Mus musculus: one gene and its partner. The protein of the gene in region 2 purifies or fractionates together with the protein of the main gene of each other region. This does not show direct contact. Links are inferred from orthologs where the notes say so. Each region holds a gene or a part of one and is shown on either strand. Other genes may lie near its edges.

Region 1 (12,924 bases), on a different chromosome or scaffold from region 2:
GGATCTCTGAGTTCGAGGCCAGCCTGGTCTACAAAGTGAGTTCCAGGACAGCCAGGGCTATACAGAAAAACCCTGTCTCAAAAAACCAAAAAAAAAAAAAAAAAAAAAAAAAAAGAGAGGTCCCCATCCCCTAAACGACAAAGTGTTTTGTCTTGTAAAACAAATTCCAGACCACACAACCCATCCCCATGGGTTCTTGTCTTGTATAAATCATAAGTTCTTTCAAGAGTTTTGTGAATTCTTCTGACAGATACATCTGACAGAAAAATCAGCCTATATAGATTCTAAAATTCAAAGCTAATTTCAGGTACACCTCTGCCCACCTTGTGCACTAAGAACTTGGGGTTCTTGAGAGTTCTAAGCAACAAGTTCAGATTGTTTGTTTCACTAGCATCTGGATAAGCCCTAGGCCAAGTACTGAACAGCTTACCTCCTCCTGGGGAAGGATCTGAGACTCAGCTTAGACACTGGCCAAGTACTGAACAGCTTACCTCCTGGGGAAGGATCTGAGACTCAGCTTAGACACTGAGGAGTAAAGGACTCAGAGAATCCACTGACTCGGGGACATGTAGTGTCTTAAACATGAGTCCGAAAGTGGAGAAGCTTGAAATGCCTAGACGTTTTCCAAGCTCAGGACAGCACCTCTCACTTGATGTAGAATTTCAGCCATCCTGTCAGGAACCATCTAATCCAACCAGAAAGAGAGAAATTGCCAAAACGTCACTTAAAAACTCTTCCAAGCCGGGCGTGGTGGCGCACGCCTTTAATCCCAGCACTCGGGAGGCAGAGGCAGGCGGATTTCTGAGTTCAAGGCCAGCCTGGTCTACAGAGTGAGTTCCAGGACAGCCAGGGCTATACAGAGAAACCCTGTCTCGAAAAACCAAAAAAAAAAAAAAAAAAAAAAAAAAAAAAAAAAAACTCTTCCAAAGAGCCAGGCAGTGGTAGCACATACCTTTAATCTCAGCACTCGGGAGGCAGAGGCAGGTGGATCTGAGTTCAACACCAGCCTGTGGTCTACAGAGTGAGTTCCAGGACAGCCAGGGCTACACAGAGAAACCCCATCTCAAAATAAATCTTTCAAGGACTTAGGGATGTAGCTCTGGTTGAAAATCTCTAGCATGTAATATAATTTTAACTGCATTTTCTAATTTTATTTTAAAACTGCTTTTTAAAAATTTTTACTTTACCTGTTTGTGGGGGTGTGTGCTGTGGTGCATGTGTGGAGGTCACAGGGAACTTGCTCAGCATCTCACTGGCCCTTTTTATGTACTAATTTTTATTTGGTTTAATTTATTAGAGACCAATTAGAAAACAGTGAAAATTGAAGTAAAAATGTATCAAGTATTTTATGTAAAGCAGTAACTTCCCTTTTTTGGCAGGCACAAATTCAAGCAGTGGCCTATACCTTGGTACCTAAATAAAAGATACAACAGGAGGCGGTTCTTCGCAATGCCTTATGTGGATCGCTTTATCAGGTGAGCAGTGTCCTCATGGTGAAGCAGCCTTACTCCAGATGGCCTGTGACCTGAGCTTCCTTTACACCTTGGTTTCTACTACATGAAGAATATGTTTTCATTACTTTGAAAAAAGAAATAGCACTAGGTTGAAAAAAGGAGAAAATTGATGCCATACATCTAAAACCTTATGTGCATAAAGTCACTGTCCCAATAGTGTGTACATATCCTTTTGGAAGTTGTATGGCTTCTGTATGTCTGGAAATGAGGGAAGTTCGACAGTACCATGTGGAGTGTAAGCTCCTTATTCCAGGGCTAGTGGAAAGGGGTGTTGGCAGCACTGAAATAGTGCTATGCTACGGACTGCCACCTCAGGGTTTCCTGTGGCAGACTGCCTTCAGTTCATGAGACAAGGAGAGTACGGTGCTTGTTACATAACTGTAGTTGGCAATAACCACCAGCTAGGTGATCCTAAGGGAACTAGGGACGGCTCTTCCACCCACCCACTCACCCTTTTTCAAAAAGATTTATTTCTTTTATGTATATGAGCACACAGTATCTGTCTTCAGACTCACCAGAAGAGAACATCAGATCTCATTACAGATGGTTGTGATCACTGTTAAAGCTTGATTTATACACACCACGTGCTGCCGACATGACTGATGCTCTTATAGAGTTGGCCAGAACGTTTTGAGAAATGGAATGGTTTTGTCTAAGTTGCTGTTTTTATTCTAGACTAAGAATTGAGAAACACGCCCGCATTGAAGCAAGAAAGAGAAGTTTACAGAAAAAGAAAGAAAAAATTCTCCATGCAAAGTTCCCACATCTCTCTCAAGAACGGAAATCAAGTAGTGTCTAAGATGAGACCCAGAAGTCTGGTTCCATTGTTCTTAAAGCCTGTGTCCTGACGTGAATACCTGTTAAGCAGTTTATAAAGAAATGTTCTTGTCAAGTGACATCAGTTGTTCTTCTAGCTCACATGGCATCTTCATTAGCTCTACAAGTAGTGCTCCTTCTATCAAAACCAGGCAGAGTTCAGGCTCAGTTCCCACTGAATGGGTCCTGACATCTAAGCAGCTTAATGTAATGCAAATGTAATGCTGGGTGCCAGAGCAAGGCTAGCAGCAAAGTCAGTTTGGAAATGCTGTTCTCACTAGTGTTAAACTGTGAGGGGGAAGGATCTGAGGAGGGCTCAGAGTTTAAGAGCACTTGTTGCTCTTCCAGAGAACCCAGCACAGATAGAAAAGCTCATAACCTCTGTAACTCCAGTTTGTAGGAAACCAACACCCTCTTCTGGCTTATGCAGACACCAGGCACTAACTAGTGTGGTGCAGATGTCCATGCAGGTGAATTATCCATATACATAATTGTTAGCAGGAAAGGGATGTGGACACTGGTAGTCAGTGATTGCTTCCCCACATCAAGTAATGGTAGAAGCAGCGCTGACAGCAGCCAGTCACACAGACAAATCCAGCACGCTTCTAGGACAGTAGTGATTTTTATTTAGTTTTGTAGCCTAAGGTACAAAGCATAGGCAGTAACTTGTACTTGTCAATACAGAGTAATTCCACCAACCAACCCCCAGGAGAGCTGGAGAGTACTTACTGAAAGCAAAATATTTAGAGAAAATAGACATTCATACAAAATTATAAAATGCCTGTAATAAGAATAAGTGCATTTCAAGGAAAGCACAAACTCATTTAATTTATAGAGCCAGTTAAAGCCTTAAAAAATTTAAGTGGAAATTGAAATATGCAAACATGTATAAACATTCTACAAAAGATGGTCATCTTTTCCTGAGTGTACTAAAGCTACAGACGTTGAGGTGACGGGCAGGCAGGGTGGAGCCCTCAAGGGCATTTTCTTTCTACACACTGCTTCCCTCCTTCTTCATATTCCTGTTTAGAAATCCACATCTGTTGAAAGGTACCCTGTAAGATGGGAAGAAACAGCAGAATTATGCCTCACTTTTTATTAGAAGGTGGTGCTTTGTACTCATAAAGGTCCTTAGCTGCTAAACTGTTAAACCCCTCCTCCAACACAGTACTGTCCCCTATTCCGCTCCTTCTTCTGAGACAGGCCAAAGACACTGTTTAGCCTGGCCTTTCAGGTCTGAGAGAACACTAAGCCCCTCTATACCTGTTACATCAAAAAGAAATGAGAACGTGGCTGGCAAAGGCATGAGGAAGGGTCCTAGGGCAGTAGTGGGGCCTCTTAGTGGGCACATGCCAGTTACCTAAGGTCCTGAGGGAAAATGGGATGCCCTCCATCTCACACTCTCAACTCAAGGTGGACTCCTGTTCAGACCGAGCACAGTGATCTTACTGGTTACACAGCCAACTCCTGACAGCCTCACCAGGAGGTGGGAAACAACTGAACTCAAGAAATGGCTCATCGATAAATGCAGTGCACCTAAGCCTGCCCAGGGCCAAGACGTATTACAGAGGCTCAACAGATCCCACTGAAGGGGAAGACCGTGTGGGGTGACTTATTCACTGATGATGCATCTGATGTACCCAACAGAGCCAAGTGCAGTGGTGTAGACCTGTAGTCCCAGCACTCAGGCTCAGGCAAGACGGCTCCAAGTCGGAGGCCAGCCTGAGGTTGCTGGAGTGGGGAGTCATTTTTATATGTAAATGGTTTTAAGCAGATACTCCTACTAGGTCCCCACTCATCTGTCAGTTTTAAGTGCAAAGATCAATGAAGCACTGAAATCATTCTTAATATTTTTACTAAATAGTATTTTTAATGCAATATTTAAGCCAAATAAGAATCTTGCTTTTAAGTTAAAATTTCTGCTTGTACTGAAAGTTTTTATGACTCAAAATTGTAATAAACCATTTCCAGAAAACCCAGAGTGGTGTTCTAGGGAAAAATATATGTATAAACTGGGGAGAGTTACTTGTAGTACCAAGACAGATTTTTATCAATATAGAATAAATACTAAAAGAATTCTTGAGCCCCAACAAAAAGAACCAGAAAAGATGTAATTGTTCAGAGAAAAATATGGTGCACTGTGAGATGATAAAACGTTCTTTATAAACTGCTACACACAATCTTATTCTCAAAAGTTCCTCTCTCAAACCAGAGACTGTGTCAGTGGAATCTTAACTACTAACCAAAGATGCTAGGATAGAGCCACCAATCCATGAGCTGAACCTCCGCTCCACCGTCGTGTTGTTTGCAATCAGTTTCAACCGCATACTCTACAACAGATGAAGAAGAAGCGTTAGGATACTGGGATAGCCACAACCGCCAACCTGGGAATTCAGTGCTGAAAAACCTCTAGAGGCATGGTGGAACATGTACTTAATCCTAGCACTTGGGATACAGAGACAGGCAGATCTCTTAGTTCCAGGCCAGTATGGCCTACATAGTGAGTTTGAGGTCAAATAGGACTACAACAGCATCCAACACTCACACCCACTCACCCTGTCTGTCTCTACACACACGGAAAAACAAATTAGTTTCACATGGTGTCAAATGGCTAAGCTAATAGTTGGCATAGGCTAGGCTACTTTTCAGGAAAGGTCTTAATGAATATCGGGTAAGAAAATGAACTATGTGACTCAAGAGACTGGGCAAACACAAGCATGCAACACCACACCAGGTAGGAAGACACACTGGACTGGAAATACTGAAACCCATGCTCTAACTTTTGCTGTCAGGAAACTTGTTCAATTTCCTCAACATGACACTCCCCTGAGAGCTTTCATTCTGCAGCACTAAAGACATTACAGAGCTTGCAGTCTCCTCCCTTGAACAGCTCTATTAAATATATTTTATGATGTTCTTTTAATCACGAACACTGTTACTCTGTAATCTCATTTAGAGTTGTAAGACAGGATTTATATATGTACATAATTTCTTCCTGTTAAACATAAATTAACAAAGCAACAAAACCAAAACTGTAAAACCTGCGTAGGACAAGGCCAGCCCTTACAGTTCATGCACCTCCAAAGGCCCCAGGTGCTTCATTCCTCTTCTTCGAAGTCTCCCACCCACCACCCTACCCCAGAGATCCTGCTACCGAAACTCTTCCCAATCAAAATGCCAGACCACAAGTGACTTGATTCACGCTCATGTCTGCAACCCCAGCACCCGGGCTGAAGGGGGCAGAATGCTGAGTAAATCAGCCTGGTCTACAATGGGACAACAACATATGCCCCATCTCAAAAAACTAAAACCTTAGTGCCTCTGTTCTGAACGTAGTATATCGCCCAGGCCAGCCTTAAACTTGGGATCTTCCTGCCTCAGCCTTGCAGTAGCTGGGATAACAGGTTTGTATCACCTGGCCGGGGGTCAATGATGTATTCAATTCACTTTCTTTAGGGTCTTTTCCTTTCCTCCTTATGAATCTGCCTCTAGGAATCATTTTCAAGGTGTCCAAACAGGCACTCTATACAACACAAATGTGGACAACCTTCATAGTGCATTAGCGTGTGAGGTGTCAGAGCCCAGAACCAGCAATGTGCTAGTATGGGTGTCTGTTCCAGAATGGAACTTTTCTTCTGACAATTTTCGTTTTAATTACTCCCTTAAGGACAAAGGTTTCTAGATTACTCTTGGGGAGAGGGGGGCTTATTTAATTATTTTAATTATGTGTATGTATGTATATGCCTGTGTGAGTATATGTACACATGAGTGCAGGTGCCTGAAGAGGCCAGAGAGGGCACTGGAGCCCAAAGTGGGTTCTGGGAACTCATGTCCTCTGCAAGAATAGCTGATGCAGGGAAGGCTACATAACACCAGCCCCTAGTTCACTCCTCAGCAGACCTTGGGCCATTCATGCCTGCAGTTGTATTTGTTGGCTTTCTATGAAATCCAACCGTCAGAACTTCTACTGCAGGTTCTCCTACACCAGTGCTTCTCAACCTCCTTGACTCCTTTGGGGGTTAATGATGCTTTCATATCAGGTATTTACATTATAAATCATAACAGAAAAATTGAGCCGGGCAGTGGTGGCACAGGCCTTTAATCCCAGCACTTGGGAGGCAGAGGCAGGCGGATTTCTGAGTTCGAGGCCAGCCTGGTCTACAGAGTGAGTTCCAGGACAGCCAGGGCTACAGAGAAACCCTGTCTCGAACCCTCCCCCCACCAAAAAACTCCAGAAAAATTATAGTTATGAATTAGCAATGAGAATAATTGTGTGGTGGTCACAACATGAGGAACTACAGCATTAGGAAGATTGAGGACCACTCTCTAGACTATCATCTCCAACTCTGCAGTATACTGACGGCAGATGTCAATCATGCAAGCGTATTAATACCCAGACAGCACTTCTGTTTAACATCAGCAACTAAGACAGTTTCTACAGAAACACTTAATACCCTGTAAGCATATTATGCCTTGTATTATTAATACACCATGTAAATTACCCCTCCAGATTCTCCTCTCCCTTGAAAATTAGCACCATATGCCCTGTGAGTGTATATGTATGTGTGCTCATGTGTGCACACTTATATGTGAGTGTGTGTATGTAAAATAATGTGGAGAGAGATAAAAGACACCGAATTTGACCTCTGGCCTCCAGAGAGACATACATGGGTTAATGTACACAGCACACACAAACATTTAAAAGAAATTCAAGTAACAGAAGAGGAACCAATAGGTGTTACATAGGACAAATACATTATTAATAGATATTACTCATAATATAAAGGCACACAACTATCTATTAAATTCTACTCGGTGAGAATGGACACAAATAAATAACACAAAGAACAGAAAAACTTACTGGTGGAGTTTTCTGAGAAAGCTCTCTATTTAACCTGTCAGTGAAACTCTGTATTAGCGTGTTTCCTCCTGCTACGATCACACTGCCGTAGAGACCCTAGGAGAGAAGCAGAATCATGTCCAGGTGTTTCCAGCAATCCCACAGTATTGATAGGTGCTGGGAATTGGATCCAGCTACCAACCTGTTGTTCCATTTACTTATTTTGTATGTATGTAAGCAAGCAAGCCACAGCTTATATATGGAAATTAGTAAGACACTTTTGGGAGTTCTTTTTCCAACATGTGGATTCTGAGAATCAAATTCAGGTTATCAGACTTTGGCGGCAACCACCTTTATGCACTGAGTCATCTTGCCAGCCTAGAGCCACTAATGTAAAACAATTATTATTAATCTCATAATTTTTTTAAAGTTTTTTTTATGTATATGAGTACACTGTAGCTGTACAGATGGTTGTGAGCTATCATGTGGCTGCTGGGAATTGAATTTAGGACTGCTGCTGGCTCCAGTCGGCTCCACTCGCTCTGACACAAAGATTTATTATTATATCTAAGTATACTGTAGCTGCCTTCAGACACACCAGAAGAGGACATCAGATCTAATTACAAATGGTTGTTGTGAGCCACCATGTGGTTTCTGGGATTTGAACTCAGGACCTTCGGAAGAGCAGTCAGTGCTCTTAACTGCTGAGCCATCTCACCAGCCCCAAATTTGTAATTCTTATTGGCAAACAGCTACTAATATTAGAGGTATATTTCATAATATTATTCATCTTTGTTCATCTGAAAGTCATGATATTTTACATTAGACAAAATTGTTTTCTGATCCTGACAGATAATGATAATGTTTCCTGGCCAAAATGCTTTCTCTTTTGTAGAAATGTTGCAACTTTTTTAGAGCACAGGCTGAACTTCCCAAATAAAAACAACTTCCTACTCAGAAGGGATGTATTTACTTCTACTTTGCATGTATTTATCAAATGTAAATGCCAGCCTGCCTTTTTAACTGGCTCTGTTCTTAGCTTTAAAACCTATTCCAGCCATGCAGTGGTGGCGCACACCTTTAATCCCAGCACTTGGGAGGCAGAGGCAGGTGGATTTCTGAGTTCGAGGCCAGCCTGGTCTACAAAGTGAGATTCAGGACAGCCAGGGCTATACAGAGAAACCCTGTCTCAAAAAACTTAAAAAAAAACAAAAACAAAAAAAAACCTACTCCAAGCATATAAGTTGTCAAAATTTTGGACTAGAAAATGCAAAACTTGGGTCCCATCTGCTAACGTTAAATAAACAGAAAAGGACCTCAATATCAAGCTCCACTCTTACAAATGTATTTAATTCTCTGCCTTTAAGTGACCTTGCATAAGAAAACACCAACACTTAGAGCAGAAAATCAGCTCAGTGGGCTACAGGTGCTCACTGTGCACATCTGCACACGAGTGTGATCTCTGGAATCCATGTGACGGGACAGACACTCAACACCACAAAACTGTCCCTCCATATACAACACACACACACACCTACAAAAAAAAAAAATCTAAACTATTACTTCCACTATCCGAAAAGTGGTATGGAGTGATAAGACACTTGAAAGAAAATATTTTCGTGGTCACCCAACAGCCTTTTGTGAGTATGGTGTTTACACACTCACATCTATTCACGTCATACTTTAAGCAAATTAACTTGAAAACGAAGATAGTATGTGGATTATAAACTAAGTGGATTATGAAATAAATCTATAGCTTAATAAATTATACTATAGATGAGTATATTATATAATCAATTTGATATAGTGTCAACAGTTTAAAACCTGACATAGCACAACAAAAAAGGTCATCTAATACAATCTGTGTCAAAGTTGCACACTTAAACCACACTTTTCTGAAAACTACAAGTAAAAGTCAAGAAAAATCACTAACTTCTATGTATCTTGATTTTCTACATTTTAGGAAATCTGGAGTAGCAACGACCAAAGGAATTTTGTGAGGGTAAAGCATTCTAGACTCTGTTGTGTCCAGTCCAGCAGCCACAAGCCATGTTCACAGAAGACTTGTGGCAATCCAGGAGCTCAGCTGCCGGTCAGATCAGGGTGTCCATCTCTCTCCACGTGGTTATAAACAGCCCGTAAAGCCAGGGGCCAACTGCAAACCAAATCTGGGACATTTCAGTGCTCTAAGAGACAGTAACCAGTAGAGACTGGCACTTACTGGTCTGATGTCGATGTCACACATTCCGACGCTGGTTGTGACAACGTGACTGACTCCCAGCATCGTGTTCCCAGACAGTCCCTAGAACGAGAATGCAGGTGTTTCTGAACACAGAAAACCTACTGGCAAACTGAGTCTTATCTAGACTTTTTAATCTCGTAATTAAATTCTCTCCACAGGAAAAGCCACAGCAATTCTGAAATTAGCTTTCACACCTTTACGTTGGAAGGGTCAAATAACCCTTCAGGAATTTTCAGCCGCTCTGCCCCAAAATCACAGTTGTAGCCATTGGGGAATTCGTAGTGGACGGTTGGCATCTGTGCAGCCACTCTACAAACGGAAACAGCAGTTCACAGAAAGCAAGCCACTCTGTTCAAACTTATAATCCACTTACAAGAGCTACCAATGGCTGAGAAATTAGAGCACAAACACCCAGAGCAGTAGTCAGCATATGCTGTATGTTTTCAGGCTAACAGTCTACAACCCTTCAATAGTTAAACAAACCAAAGCCCTTATTTCTGAAGTACAGTACACAGTTAGACAGAAAACGTACTGTTCGTCGTAGGTGGAGTCTGACACCTGAAGAACGGAAGCTTGAAAATCCTGGATGACGCACTGTGGACAGAAGGAAGTTAGGAATCAGGTTGAACTCTTAGTAATGTGCACTGTACGTGACAGACTACACAATGGCATCAGACCACTTTCTCACGGTTCAGTCATTTGAAGAGGGCAGGCAACTCTTCTAAAAGCTGAGCATCAGCATACGCAGTTCTACAGTTACATGGGAACTTACAATCTATAACATATATTAAATTCATTTCTACAATTATAATTACACAAGTTATTTCAATTCCACCACTTATGGGACAATAACAAGAGATTAAAAACAACCAGGAACCTGTACCACGGCCCCACCAAACTCAACCAGTTTCAGAAGATCATTCTTTTCCTTAAAAGTAACCTGATTTATTATCTATCTATTATCTATCTATCTATCTATCTTATCTACGGTTTTTTGATACAGAGTTTCTCTGTGTATAGAACTGTCATAGAACTCATGCTGTAGACCAGGCTGGCCTCTAACTCAGACATCTGACTGCACTGCCTCCCAAGCACTGGGATTGAAGGTGTGTGCCACCACCACCCAGTAACTTGATTTTAAGAGAAACATTTATCACCTGAATATGGCATACAGACTCGTCATATCTATAGAATTTCTAGTGACTGCTGTGAAATGAACATGGCCTGCATGTTGATATGGAAAAATTCCAAGAATTTTCCATGTTCTAATACATACACCTTTGGGTGCAACATGCTCTCAGAATAAACTAAGTCAATTATGGCGTCATATCCTTTTACTATTAGAAATTAGTATGTATATCTATGAGATGGCAATACACTGATCTCTTACCTATATAGGGCTACACATGCAGACATATTTCCAGCAGAGTCTCACTGGCCCACTGCTGGAGCAGTCACACACACTTTATGTTTGATAAATGCTAGGGAAGAAATCTCACTTAAGCTGTAATAAGTTCTACACAAACTGAAACCATTTTCTCAACAACAGTATTAAGTAGCATTCCTACTTCTACCCTAAAGCCATAGCCTGTCCCACTTCTTCACACTGCTGTGTAGCGGCCTGTTTGTAGGGGCTGTTTCAATAATATGGAAAGTGCTCCCCACACCAAGCTATTGCTTTTGTCAGATATTTTAAAAAAAACATAACATGGCCGTCTCTGTCCAATCCCAAGGCAGCCCACTTGTCCCTCCAGGGTAATAAACCTCCTCTGTGTTGTTTAAAAAATAATAAAATTCCTTGGACTTAATACTTTATAAAGACAGTAAGGGTAACTTACGTTGCACATGTAATTGTGCCAAGACCTTGTAACCTGGGGCAGTTTCTCTTTTCTTTTCCAGTTGGCTGGAGAACCTTCTCGAACAGCCTCCTGAGAACACCAAGAGCACATGCTAAGAGACTTCACGAGCCAGGAGAGGAGGCAAAGGCAGGTCTCACCAAGGAACGTCACGTGCTGCTTACTTTTGATGCAATCATGTAAGGAGGAATGAGTTCTATGTTCATTTCCTGGAAGAGTTCTCTGCACTGCATGGTAATGAAGTCTCCAGCCAGAGGGGATTTCACAATGCCTGAGAACCAAATCAAACAAGGCTGAAGGAGCCCAAAGTCTCAATTCCTTGGAACTGTGAATATATTTACACAGGAATAAGTTTCTTTTAGTAGATTAAGTAAGCTATCATTTTAAAGAGCAAAGCCATGCATTTGAAACGTATTACTTGGAAATGGATGTGCTCCAATAGAATTCCTGGTCTGTCTTCACTATCTATGTCAAGACCGGGAAAGTCACCTTGTGCCCTCATTAAGCAGTTACCTTGTTGAAGAACATAGCCATCGTGGACTGGAATCGCAGTGGTGTGGGTAGCTCCACTGTCCAAAATCAGCCCAGTAGAACGACCATTAGCAAATCTGGTTTAAAGCATTAAGGAAAATGAAGTATCGAAGCTCCTAGGATAGTACTGATTAAGAAAGGCTGGCTCTTGTCATGCTTAAGTCAGTTTATTAAACAGACGTTATCATTTACATGTGTAAAAGCATGTCTAGAGATAAAAACTGGTGTAAATAATTGAAAAGTCTTGAAAAGAACTTGCACAGGCAGGACTCCCAGAATGGTTTCTTCTTTAATTAAGCTGCTTAAAACGAACATATTGTAAACCTCCACAACTGATCAAAAGGCTTACAATAAATTGAAACATTTTTAACAACATTTACAAAAACCAGACAAGAACAGCAAGAGGCTATGACACCTGGGTGGAGAATTCTGGAGGAGCCCTGCAGGTATGGCAGCTGGGTGGCAGCCCCTGCCCTACCCCAGTGCACCCCAACAAGCAACTCGAGGTGGACTCAGCAGCTGGTGAAAGAGCAGCTCCCACTCCCCTCAGCGGCATGATACAGGCCTGTATGAACTGGGCCTCAGCGGCATGATACAGGCCTGTATGAACTGGGCCTCAGCGGCATGATACAGGCCTGTATGAACTGGGCCTCAGCAGCAGCTACAGCCCTGTATGAACTGGGCCTCAGCGGCAGCTACAGGCCTGTATGAACTGGGCCTCAGCGGCAGCTACAGCCCTATATGAACTGGGCCTCAGCGGCAGCTACAGCCCTGTATGAACTGGGCCTCAGCGGCAGCTACAGGCCTGTATGAACTAGGCCTCAGCGGCATGATACAGGCCTGTATGAACTGGGCCTCAGCAGCAGCTACAGCCCTGTATGAACTGGGCCTCAGCAGCAGCTACAGGCCTGTATGAACTGAGCCTCAGCGGCATGATACAGGCCTGTATGAACTGAGCCTCAGCGGCAGCTACAGGCCTGTATGAACTGGGCCTCAGCGGCAGCTACAGGCCTGTATGAACTGGGCCTCAGCGGCATGCTACAGCCCTGTATGAACTGGGCCTCAGCGGCAGCTACAGGCCTGTATGAACTGGGCCTCAGCGGCATGACACAGCCCTGTATGAAC
Region 2 (12,924 bases):
GGGTGCCAGGGATCTAAACTCAGGTCTTGCATGGCAAGAACTTTACACACTAAACATCTAGCTCTTTTTATTGATTCTTATGCCACAAGAAGTCCCAATACTATTTTCATTTACAAAAATTAAAATGGCTTTTGTTATCTTTCTTAAACATTTAAAAAATTGAGGTTTATGGGTGTTTTCCCTGTACATATATCTTTGTATCACTTACATGCCTAGTGCCTATGGAGGCCAGAAGAGGGTGTCAGGTGCCGTCAGAATGGAGTTACAGATGGGGAGGAACCAGCATGTGAGTGCTGGTGTACACAGACCTCTGGGAAGAGTAACTAGCCCTCTTAATTGCTGAGCCATGCTCCAGGCCCCTGTTCCGTTTCTCAACAGAACTCAGGGCATGAGATAAACTATAAGGATTTCTGTTTCTATATGTGTCATGGGTTGTATCTTCCAGCCCTCAAAAGCAAAAGCCTATCATATCAATAATGGGAGAATAAAAAGATCTTATTTCGTAAAAAAATCAATCTGTGTACTTCTTAACAGAGTTCCCCATAATCTATGAGACATGTGCTCTTTAGAAGATTCACTGGACTCAAGCAACTGTGAACCACAGGAGTGGCATTTACATTTCATTATTATTATTATTATTATTTTTGGTTTTTCGAGACAGGGTTTCTCTTTATAGCCCTGGCTGTCCTCGAACTCAGGAATCTGCCTGCCTCTGCCTCCCGAGTGCTGGGATTAAAGGCGTGTGCCACCACCGCCCAGCTTAAATTTCATTATTAAAGTACTGCTACATCCCATGAACTAGAGCATGTTCATCAACTAGTATCAACACCCAACAAAAATTTCTTGAATGAAACCTCGTATAGAATTTGACTGTAAGATGCCTCCACTCTCCTCTTTATTTCTATCCCTAGTTCTTCACAAGGAACCATTTCCTAAACATGCTAATCAAGGATCCACCTCAAACTCTGAAACACAGCATATTTACACCCTAACCTTTCCCTTTCTTTTGTGGTTTTTTTTTTTTTTTTTGTGACAGGGTTTCTCTGTGTAGCCCTGGCTGTCCTAGAACTTACTCTGTAGACCAGGCTGGCCTTGAACTCAGAAATTTGCCTGCCAAGTGCTGGGATTGGAGGCATGCGCCACCACGCCTGGCTCACTTTCTTTATACCATTTATCATATGCAGAGTATCAGCCTCTCTATTCATCTTCCAACTCTTTTATGATACTTTGTGCCTTTTTAGGTAAACTCTGGCCCACAAAGTTTCTTACATGATCATGTTGAAAGTGATCATGTTGGGTTTTAATAGGCTACTTCACATTTCCTTAAGTATCAGTCTAACCATGAGATTTCAAGCTCTTTAATATAGAGCTCAACAATGCTTATCATTCATGTCTGTGTTCCATAACTGGTAACTATCAGCAGCAGTGCTCTCAGTGGGAAACAAGCCAAGGCATATCACCTACTAGATGTTAGATTATGAATTTTATTGCTTGCACATCTCCAATTCTTCAAATAAAAACTGAAAAGATTATCAGTCCCATAGACAAGTACAGATGACTTAGAGATGATCTTCACGAAGGGCTTTACCATGATATTTTACAAAAGTTGTCACTAGGAAAAGCAATCATTAATATTTACTTTTCCTTCACGGTCTAGAGCAAAGATCTCCTAGATGCAATTAAACAGTCTAAAGTTCTAGCTCTCAGTACTTCAGAAGAGGGCAGGATTTACTATCTGTAAGTTCAATTTAACCAAGTGCCTGTAAGAGCATATAGAACTTATACTGCGATTGCTGGATTACACTGGGTATTCTTCCAGTAAGTGCCAAAGATACGCAGGCTAAAAAGCTGAAGGAATTTTAGTAAATTAAATTTATTCTTTTAAACCATTTATAGTCCTACACTATGCTCTTAAATTGATAAATGAGATAAAAAAACAAAAGGCCTTATTAAGTAACTGAAATAGAGATTGAGGGGGCTGAGAAGGAGCACTGGTGTTCTTCCAGAGGACCCAGGTTCAATTTACTGCACCCACATGGTGGGTAACAACCATCTGTAACTCTAGTCCCAAAGAAACTAACTCCCTTTTCTGGCCACTGTGGGCACTGGATATATGTGCTGCATAGACATACATACAGGCACACCATCTCAGTACACATAAAATAAAAATAAGCAAGTTTTTAAAAAAGTGAATGGATTTAGACCAGTCTATCCTCAAAGAATAACTCCAAGCTCTCTAATTCATTTAAAACATTCTTAAGACTAATTTTCAAAGAAAAAAAAAATCCTACTTTTAGTTTTATTACAGACTGTATTATTGATCCTTTAAAAGACATCTTCTGCGAAAGGCTGCATTTTAGGTTTCTGCATTATGCAAGAGCTTCAGTCCTGCCCCTCTCACCGGCACTTATGATGACAACTCAGTAGTGCTCTTTACAAGTTTGTTGTTGTTGTTGTTTGTTTTTTGTAGACAGTTTCTCTGTGTGGTCTTGGCTGTCCTGGAACTTGCTCTGTAGACCAGGCTGTCCTTGAACTCAAGAGATCTATCTGCCTCTGCCTCCTGAATGATGGGGTTAAAGGTGACCACCGTTCAACTCCCTCTTTATAAGTTTTGACCCCTCCAACACTGTAAAAGGGGTGGGGGGAGCATATGTTTTGCCTACCAAGAATTCAGGATAGAAGGCTATCTACAGGCTGGTGAGATAGCTCAGAAGGTAAGAGCACTGACTGCTCTTTTAAAGGTCCTGAGATCAAATCCCAGCAACAACATGGTGGTTCACAACCATCTGTAATGAGATCTGACGCCCTCTTCTGGTGTGTCTGAAGACAGCAACAGTGTACTTATGTATAATAATAAATAAATATTTTGAAGAAAAAAAAGAGGAAGGCTACCTACTATAACCATGTACCTAAGCAGAAAGTTTATCAAAGCATAACTCTCTCATCTGTTTTGCATTAAAAATCACATGTATTTATCATAAAGAGATGGGTTTGAAAACATACCGGTTCATCCTTCTTGCCCGTTCCAATACTTCAAACATATGCTCCTGAAATAAATCAAGTCGCCGATACCGATTACTTTCAACATTTTTCCTGATAATGTCAAATGTAAGGGGAGGTTTATTGGGAGAGTTGGGATCCACAGCAGGAATTTCTGCTAAGGAGTCGCTGTAACACCTCCCTTCGTCATCCTGATGACTCATGACTGACACAAAAAGGTTATGGATGAGCTCTTGAATCAGCAACGTCACATTAGGGACATGAGAATCCTCATCTCCCTCCAGGTCTCTCCGAGTCTCAAGGAGGACTTTATGCAGTACAAGGGCATCTTTGTAGATCAAAGACTCTGGTTCATTGTAGGTACAGGCATTATTAAACATCATGACAAAGTCCTCTACCATAGAATCTATGTCTTGGTACTTGTTTGCCATCATGTGACTTCGAATTTTTTCCATGTCCATGGGCTTTTTAATGGTCAGGTAGTAGTCAGGCAGCTCTGATCTAGAGGGGAGTCTTAGAAATATAGCACTAAGGCGGCGACCCCTCTTATCAGTATAGTTCTTTACAGCTTCATACACTTCATTCAGTTTCTGCTGCATTGGAGTCATGTACTTTGATTTCTTAGGAGAAACACCACTCTTCCTACCTGGAGAGAGAGAGAGGTATTGTCATGCGAAGTGGAAAAAATGGCATAAGCATAACTTTTTACATAGTTGGTAGCACAACCATAAGAAAGGGGTTATCCTAAATGATTTGTAAAACCACAGTATTCAGCATCTCTTTAGTAAGATAGATCTCATAGACAAAAATAGACCTGGAAGAAAACCTTTACCCTTCAGCAATATAATTTATATATAAATAAAATTTATATATGTATATAAACATTTTGAGACTGAGTCTCATATAACATAGGTGGGCTTTGAACCCTCCTGCCCCAGCCCCTAAGGGCTAGGATTAAAGATGTAAAGTTGACACAAAAGCTGGTCACTCTATTTTGATGTGAGAGCAAATACTTTCATGATGAGAGAGCTGTGAATGGGCTCAGCAAACGAGTATCTCTGACATTCTGACGTTATTATCACCTCTGACACCCTGGAGAACTGAGAATTTCACTTCAGGAAAAAGATAAAAGTTGTTGAAACAAATTGAAGTGTGAAAATTCTTAAAACTTGAATATCAAAGTATTAATATAGTTTACTATATCTTACTTCTAAATATGAAGTCATATGTATTCTAGTTCCATTCATTGTAATTTCTAGAAATGATAACCAACTCAGTAACAGGATGCCCCAAACTAGTCTATTTATAGAAAAGAGTCTCAAGAAGCCCAGGCTGACCTCAAACTATACAGCTGAGCCTGGCCTTGAACTTCTGATCCTCCTGCCTCCAGCTCCCAAGGGCTGGGATTACAAGTATGTATCTCCATATCTGACTATGTGTATGCTTTTATAATTATATGAAAAGAAGAATTCCTTAGTGAAAAGGAATTGTCATTTGCTAGCAATTTACAAAGTAATGAAGAAATTCAGTTTATGGGTAGTTTACATTAAAAAAGATGCTTGTCTTTGTCCTTTCCAGTAAACACAACTTTAAAGATTATTTGACATTGTTATTGTTTGCTTAGTATTTGTTTAAGATTACTTGATGTTATTGTATGCTTAGCATTTGTATTGGCTAATTTTGTGTCAATTTGACACAGCTGGAGTTATCACAGAGAAAGGAGCTTCAGTTGGGGAAATGCCTCCACGAGATCCAGCTGTAAGGCATTTTCTCAATTAGTGATCAACGGGGGAGGTCCCCTTGTGAATGGCTGGTAGTCTTGGTTCTATAAGAGAGCAGGCTGAGCAAGGGAGCAGGGGAAGCAAGCCAGTAAAGAACATCCCTCCATGGCTCTGCATCAGCTCCTGCTTCCTGACCTGCTTGAGTTCCAGTCCTGACTTCCTTGGGGATGAACAGCAGTATGGAAGTGTAAGCTGAATAAACCCTTTCCTCCCCAACTTGCTTCTTGGTCATGATGTTTGTGCAGGAATAGAAACCCTGACTAAGACAGCATTGTTTCATTTATATTAAATAATTCAGAAATATCTCCTTTAATTCAGTGATTTTTTTTTCTGTGTTCTTTTCCTTTAAAAATTTTGATAAACCATATCCACGTAGGTTACTCAAATGGTCCCTGAGTAGTACATTTCTCATTTCCCAAAAATTTTTTTTAAAGATTTATTTATTTTATGCATATGAGTACAATGTAGCTGTCTTCAAACACACCAAAGGAGGGCATAGGTTGTGAGCCACCATGTGGTTGCTGGGAATTGAACTTAGGACCTTTGGAAGAGCAGTCAGTGCTCTAAACTGCTGAGCCATCTCTCCAGCCCCCACTTTACAAATTTTATCCAGGAGAATTGTTGGGATTCATTTTTAATTTTATGTAACACCAAATAAAATTAACAAAACCTGCCATACTCTTTTTTTCTGGCTTCATATAAAGAATACTCTTCTCAGTCAATGGCTATAAGGAAAACCTCTGCCGTTAATATTCAAGTTCTTTTTTTAATGATTTGGACATAAAGTATACCTTGAAAAGTTCCTCATAAAAGACTTAGAACCAAGCTGGCAGATACAATCACTGAGAGGTCAGAGCATGAGAGTGCTGCTTTTATTAACAGATGACCTGAGGAGTCATAATCTGATGGCGGTACTGGGAGATGGGCTGGGTTGGAGTTAAGTGGGTCCCTGATGGAGTGGTCGAATCACGTCTCTCTGCTCCTCGTCTATCATAAGCTAAGCAAATCTGCAACTCTTTGTCCTTACACGATGTTCTACTTTACTATAGCCCATGAACAACGGAGACTAAGCTCTGTAGTTGTAGCAAAATGAATCCGTTCTATTTCTCACTGTCATATACTCAGTCCCATCAACAAAAAAGCTAACTTTATACTCTTGCTTATTCTTAGACTCTTACTTAAAACACAGTCAAAGAGTGTCAATGTGAAGAAAGTTACCTAAGAGCAGTGCCAGTGAATAAACACTTGTTCATCATTTAATTAAAGAAATGTCAAGGAACCAGCAGTCTCTCTTTGACAGACTAAACTGAAGAGCAAATTCTAAGGCAGACTTACTCAATTTAAGTTTGGGAGAAGCCATGTCATCATCATCAGGCAGAGGGCCCAGCTCTTTCCTTTTATCTTTGAGTAACTTCTCCAGGATATGGGCATCATTGTATACCTACATTCCAAAAACAGACTTAACATTTTTTTCCTAAAAACATTGTAATTAAGAAATAAAGAAGTCTTTACTCTCTGAGGGCGGTGATACATAACTACTAGCACTCAGGAAGCAGAAAATCACAAGTTTGAGGCAGACATCATTTACACAGTGAAATCCTAACTCAAATATCAAAACATCAACAAACAAGCAAAAAATAATGACTATGTGTGAATGAGTTTAAAACACAGTTTAAAGAGAAAAAAAAAGTTAAAAGCCGGGCAGTGGTGGCACATGCCTTTAATCCCAGCACTTGGGAGGCAGAGGCAGGCAGATTTCTGAGTTCTAGGCCGGCCTGGTCTACAGGTGAATTCCAGGACAGTCAGGGCTTCACAGGGAAACCCTGTTTCGAAAAAAAAAAACAAAAAACAAAAAACAGAAACAAAAAAACAAACCCAAAAAACAAAAAGAACACCACAGTTTAAGTCAGCTGGATGGTGTTGGCACATGCCTTTAATTCCACTACTCAGGAGGGCAGAGGCTGGTGGATCTCTGTGAGTTCAAGGTCTGGTTTACAAAATGAGTTCCAGAACAACCAAAGCTATACAGAGAAACCTTCTCTTGAAGAAAACAAAAAGAAAAAAGCAAAACAAAGCAAACAAACAAACAAAAAACCCAACATGGTTTAAGAGAGCCGACAGCTCAATCTTTAGGCTCTCTTCAGAACAGCAACACTCCTATCTTAATGGGGAGAACCTATTTTGAAGCTTTCTGGGTCATTCTAATGTATAAATATGCATGCTAATATCTAAGATCCATTGTGGTAGAAATTTTATAGATGTTTAATTTTTTATTTCAAGTGTCTGGGTGCTTAGCCTGCACATGTAAGTGTCTGTGTCTACAGAAGGCACAAAGGATACTAAATTCCTTGGAACAAAGTTCAGAACTATCTGTAACTCCAGTTTCAAGGGACAAAACAACCTCTTCTGATCTTAACACCAGACACACATGTAATGTGTGTGTGTACACACACACACACACACACACACACACACACACAGGCAAAATACTCAAGTACATAAAACAAAATCTTTTTAAAATCCTTAAAAATAAATAAATAATAAGATAAACATTTTAATGTATTGGCTTTTCTTAGAGTACATATTCACTATTAAGTATTGTTCCCAAAACTCAGTTTTTTTTAATATCTTTTTAATATCATATAAAACTCTGGAGTAAGTACTACTACTATTATTTCTAAAGTATACAGTAGGAAAACAGAAGTTTAGGAAGGAAAATTTCCTTACACAGACACTGGCAAAGCAGGAGCCATTTATAACACTCATCTTTCTGTTACCATCATCATTTTGGTTTTTTGAGACTGAGTCTTACATAGCCCTGGTAGGACTATAATTCATGAAGAACAAACTCATCTTAAATTCAGAAAGCCACCTGCCTCTGCCTCCCAAGTTGCTGGGACTACACTGTGCATCATTACACCCAGCTCTTTATTTTTCGTGTGTGTGTCTGTGTGTATTTGTGCATGCAGGACAGAGTTGGCTGATCATTTCTCTGCCTTTTTTTTGTTTTGTTTTGAGACAGGGTTTTCTCAATGAACCTGGAACCCATTAATTTGGCTAAACCAATGTGTAGTTCCAGGGATTCTGTGGTCTTATCTCCCTAGCACTGGTATGTACTACAGGTATGTACTGCTATATCTGGCTTTCTACATTGGGTGCTGGGGACTTGCACTTAGGTCCTCATGTATGCATAGCAAGTACTTTACATACTAAACTGTCTCCCCAACACAGAGTAGGATTAAAATGTATGTGCCATATAAGTGCAGGGCAGCTGGGCGGTGGTGGTGCACACCTTTAATCCCAGCACTCTGGAGGCAGGGGCAGGCGAATTTCTGAGTTTGAGGCCAGCCTGGTCTACAAAGTGAGTTCCAGGACAGCCAGGGCTACACAGAGAAACCCTGTCTTGAAAAAACCAAAAAAAAAAAAAGTGCATGGGAAACCAAAGGAAAGTAACCGGTATCTTCCTTAATCATGCTGTCCTATCTCACTATCTCACCGACTTTCAGCTATCTATCTGGCTGGCAGGCAAGCCCTCAGAATCCTCTGCTCTCTTCCCCAGTGCTACAGTTATAAGCATGTGCAGTACTGCCTAGCTTTTTACATAGTTCATAGGGGAACTTGACTTGAATCTGTGTGTTTGCAGAGCAAGTACTCTTACTCAAGGACCATCTATTTTTAAAAACAGATTTCTTTATTCTGTATACGGCATTCTGACAGCATGTATGCCTGCAGGCCACAAGAGGGCACCAGATCAATCTTAGAGAGTTAGGAACCACAATGTGGTTGCTGGGAATTGACCTCAGGACATCTGGAAGAGCTCTCAACCTCTGAACCATCTCTCCAGCCCAGTAAACAATTTTTAAACTATAAACTTTTACTCTTTAAAACATGCTGTCTTCCATTTTTAAGCAACCAAGAATAACAAAATATTAACACACTCACCAAAAATAACTAGAGTCAAGAAGAGGTGGCTGGTTGAGGTAGTTCATGGCAAATGAAAATGCTGAAGAAGCAGAGACTAGAGGATGTTAAGTTCAAGGCCAGCCTGGACCATGAGATACTTTGCCTTGAAATGTAAAAAAGAATTGAGAAGATGATCCCTATGTAAGAAGCTAGGTACTACTGCACATGCCTACAACTGTAACACTGGGTAAAAGGATCCTGAGGGCTCGCTGGTCAGCCAGCCTAGCTGAAAGTCAGTGAGATAAGACAGCATGATTGAGGAATACAGAATACCTTCTCCTTTAGCTTCCCATGCACTTACAAGGACACACACACTTGGGAGATTCACTTGCATGTCTGTCTGTCTGTCTGTCTGTCTCTCTCTCTCACACACACACACACACACACACACACACACACACACACACACACACACACGAGTCAGAGACACAGAGAGAGTCTAGCTCTGATCTTTCACACTCTAGGAGCTCCTCCATACCTGGGAGCCCTCCTCATTGTAGTGCCTGGCATTGCGGAACATGAGTTTCATGTCTTCCATCATTCCTTCTTCACCTGCATATTTGTCATTTCGGATGTTATGCTCAATTATTTTCAGGTCCATTGGCTCTAAGATGATTTTATAATAATCAGGATAGTCCTTCTTGGATGGCTTAACCATAAATAGATCGCAAAGTCTTCTGCCTGAACCTGGCTCTCGAGCTTCAAGAACAACATTGAATAAAATTTTCATTCGCTGTTTTCTTATGTTCTTTTTACTGTTGAGGGGAAGGTAGAAAAGGGGAAAAACAAGGTCAGCTTACTTTATCCAAGGGTGACCATGAATTAGAAAAAAAATTTTTTTGTGGGCAGGCACTTCATAATGTTTACAATATGTTGATTAGATGTGTCATAAACATTGTAAGCACGCTGAAAAGGTGTAAGAGAATATTAGGAAAATTTACAAAATGATTAAACAGTGATCCTGGCAGGAGCAACCAGTGACAAACCTGTTTAGAATAGCTCTTAAAATATAATGTTCAAAAAATATAGTGTGATACCATAAGAAAATGAAATTCAATAACTACATGAAATACATTTTTCATTTTGAGGCAAATAATGCAATAAAATAGCCACTCCATTTCTAAACACAGACAAAACAAAACAACCTACCAGTGTTTTATCTCTTAAGATAGCTATTCCTAAACAGATTAAATATCCCAGCTACCAAGGGGGGGGGGGAGACAAAACAAAAAGACCTCTGCATACTACTATCTCCATAGGAGGTACAAGTCCCACAGCATTCCTATCTAAACCACAGTCGCCTCAAGTAGACTGTGGTTCATCTAAATTCTACATTTGTAGCATTTAGCACTTAGCAATTCAATTATGCTTTTTCTCCATAGTCCACAATCAAGATATAAGAACCTGATATGAATGGTACAGAACAAAGACTATTAACACCAGAGTTCAGAAGGGGCCCAAGATGGGGTTGCCTTACTTAACTGTTGAGAAAACCAGCTCAGAAAGGCTAAAATTCAAGGAAAATGGCTCAATAAATCATTACAAGAGTTTATCTTCTGGGGGCTGGAGAGATGGGTCAGCAGGTAAGAGCACTGACTGCTCTTACGAAGGTCCTGAGTTCAATTCCCAGCAACCACATGGTGGCTCACAACCATCCATAATGAGATCAGATGCCCTCTTCTGGTGTGTTTGAAGTCAGGTACAGTGTACTTATTTATAATAAGAAATAAATCTTTTTTTTTTTTTTTAAAGTTTATCTTTCAGTTTGACTTCTGGTCAATATTTTTTTAATGTCTTCAGGATACTGATAAATTCTAGCTAGACTACCCAGCAGTCTCCAAGTGGCCAGTATGTAAAAAAGGAAATAACTTATAAGATTTAGTTTCTAGTCTATAAAAAATGGCTAAGATCCTATAGCATTGTACACAGAAGTAAATATTCTTAATTGTTTTCTATCTTATAAGAGAAGGAAGTTCATTTCTGAAAAAAAATTATATGGCTATGGGTTTCTTAGCCTAGCCCCCAGACTATATTCTCACTCTCTTTCTGGGTCATGAGACTTTGCCTCAATTCAAGACGTGCTTTTAGGGGCTGGAGAGATGGCTCAGCAGTTAAGAGCACTGACTGCTCCTCCAGAATTTCTGAGTTCAATTCCCAGCAACCACATGGTGGCTCACAACCATCTGTAATGGGATCTGATGTCCTCTTCTGGTGTGTCTGAAGTCAGTGACAGTGTACTCACATAAAATAAATAAATAATTAATTAAATAAATCTTAAAAAAAAAAAAAAAAAAGACATGTTTTTAAAAACCAGAAATAGAAGCAAGAGGTGGAAGCCAGAGAATCAGGATTTCAAAGTCATCTCTGGACTCATAGCAAGTTTAGGCAAGCTTGGGCTACATGAGATGGAGGTGGGTTGGAGAAAAGGGAAAGGGAGAGGGGACAGAAAGATCACGGATTCATCTGTGTATATGTGTAGTGTATGTTAAAAAACAATCAGCAACCCAGATGCTCTCGAGTCTCAGAAATGTCTATCTAACATGATGGCGCATGGCAAACTCAAAGTGGCCTACATAGGAAAGAAAAAGAAAATAACTTATGGTTTCCAGGACTGGACTCATCCTCATTACGACGTCATTCTGACTCCCTTTGTCCACTGTGGCCCTATGATCATTCTGCCGTCTTTTCCTTCCTGCATCAAGTAAATAGTTGTTAACCTAAGAGCTGGTTCATCTCGTGGGTAGTATTTTCTCTAAGAACAATATGGAAAGATGATGTGGAAAGGTCTGTATCCAATAGGTACTACTAATAAGGACAGAGCTCCAAATGACAGAGCTCCACACTGGGGTACGACAACTTTAACTTTCAGAGACTGAGAAGAAATTTTGGAACTTGAATCAAAAAAGTCACAGAAGTCATACTTAAAACCAAGTTAGATATGGCTTGTTTAGAAATGTCTCATATGTAAAGCTTGACTTTAGAAGATGCCAGAATTCAGTTTTGAAAAGCTAGGCTTAAAAGCACTCATTAGTTAACACAGAAAGAAATCAGTTTCTCATTCCAGAAGTTCTAAGAAGTAGAATCCTTCCATCAAAAGCCAGACATGAACCCATTCTCTCCCAGGACTCAGCGGAGACTTTTCTGTATGAACCCATACTCTTATTTGGGACTGAATCTGTGGCAGACTTTAGTGAGGTTTTAAAAGACAGTTTTTATATCAAGTAAAAGAATAGCAAGTGGTCCATTCTCAATGCCAACAATCCTAACACTTGGCAACTATGAATGGGTCATATCCAGAACCTGAATCTTCCTGTACATACAAGCACTGTTCTAAACTAGTAGCTGTAGTTTTCTTCCTCTATTACATCATAAGTAACATATAATTAATTGGTTTACTGCCTTAGAGGCTGTGATGGTTTGTATATGCTTGGCCCAGGAAGTGGCACTATTAAAGGTGTGGCCCTTTTGGAGAAGATGTAGGCTTGTTGGAGTAGGTGTGTCACTGTAGGCATGGGCTTTTTACCCTAATCCTAGCTGACTGGAAATAAGTCTTCTCCTGTTTGCCTTTGGAACAAGATACAGAACTCTCAGCTCCTCCTACACCATGGCTGCCTGGATGCTGCCATGTTCCTGCCTTGATGATAATGGACTAAACCTCTGAACCTTAAGCCAGCCCCAATTAAATGTTGTCCTTATGTCATGGTCTCTGTTCACAGCAATAAAACTGTAAAACAGAGGTAAACAAAGCTATTACTAGGGTCACACTTGGCCTTCCTTGAACAAATCCAGTTTTATTTCTTTTTTCAGTTTTCTAAATCATTACACATTGCCTTTGAGACTGAGAACCACTGGTTCAGAAAACTTTCAGTTAACTTTAGTGGCTGCTATGTTTACTGCTTTCCAGTATGTACAGTGAACCTTATTACACAAGTGACTTCTGAAAGTTTCATGTACTTTATGGAATGAGATGAATCCTTTATTACAAACGTGTAGGAAGAAACTGCAGCTCTCCCTACCTCAAACTTCTGACCATTCTCTTTTTTATTAACTTTATTTGTGTGCATTCAGGGATGTGTGTGTGTGTGTGTGTGTGTGTGTGTGTGTGTGATGTGATGTGATGTGATAGTATGCCATGTGTGTTCAGGTGCCAATGAAAGCCAGAAGAGAGCTTTGGATCCCT

Evidence for each region.
Region 1: the proteins of Pbrm1 (region 2) and Actl6a fractionate together in Homo sapiens (co-fractionation; 4 studies listed by BioGRID and IntAct, with this or other methods). This does not show direct contact. The link is inferred for Mus musculus from reciprocal best matches to the Homo sapiens genes PBRM1 and ACTL6A.

What each region holds. Positions count from the first base shown.
Region 1 is NC_000069.6:32,716,983-32,729,906, reverse strand, and holds the end of Actl6a (actin-like protein 6A), read right to left. Parts: intron 11,877-12,924; coding exon 11,782-11,876; intron 11,540-11,781; coding exon 11,433-11,539; intron 11,341-11,432; coding exon 11,251-11,340; intron 10,007-11,250; coding exon 9,945-10,006; intron 9,722-9,944; coding exon 9,607-9,721; intron 9,473-9,606; coding exon 9,392-9,472; intron 7,288-9,391; coding exon 7,192-7,287; intron 4,661-7,191; coding exon 4,574-4,660; intron 3,386-4,573; coding exon 3,305-3,385; 3' UTR 2,936-3,304; downstream 1-2,935. Other genes in the region: Mrpl47 (39S ribosomal protein L47, mitochondrial), read left to right, coding at 1,380-1,475, 2,190-2,313.
Region 2 is NC_000080.6:31,058,044-31,070,967, reverse strand, and holds part of Pbrm1 (protein polybromo-1), read right to left. Parts: intron 9,500-12,924; coding exon 9,223-9,499; intron 6,223-9,222; coding exon 6,117-6,222; intron 3,647-6,116; coding exon 3,004-3,646; intron 1-3,003. UniProt on the Homo sapiens protein: Involved in transcriptional activation and repression of select genes by chromatin remodeling (alteration of DNA-nucleosome topology). Required for the stability of the SWI/SNF chromatin remodeling complex SWI/SNF-B (PBAF).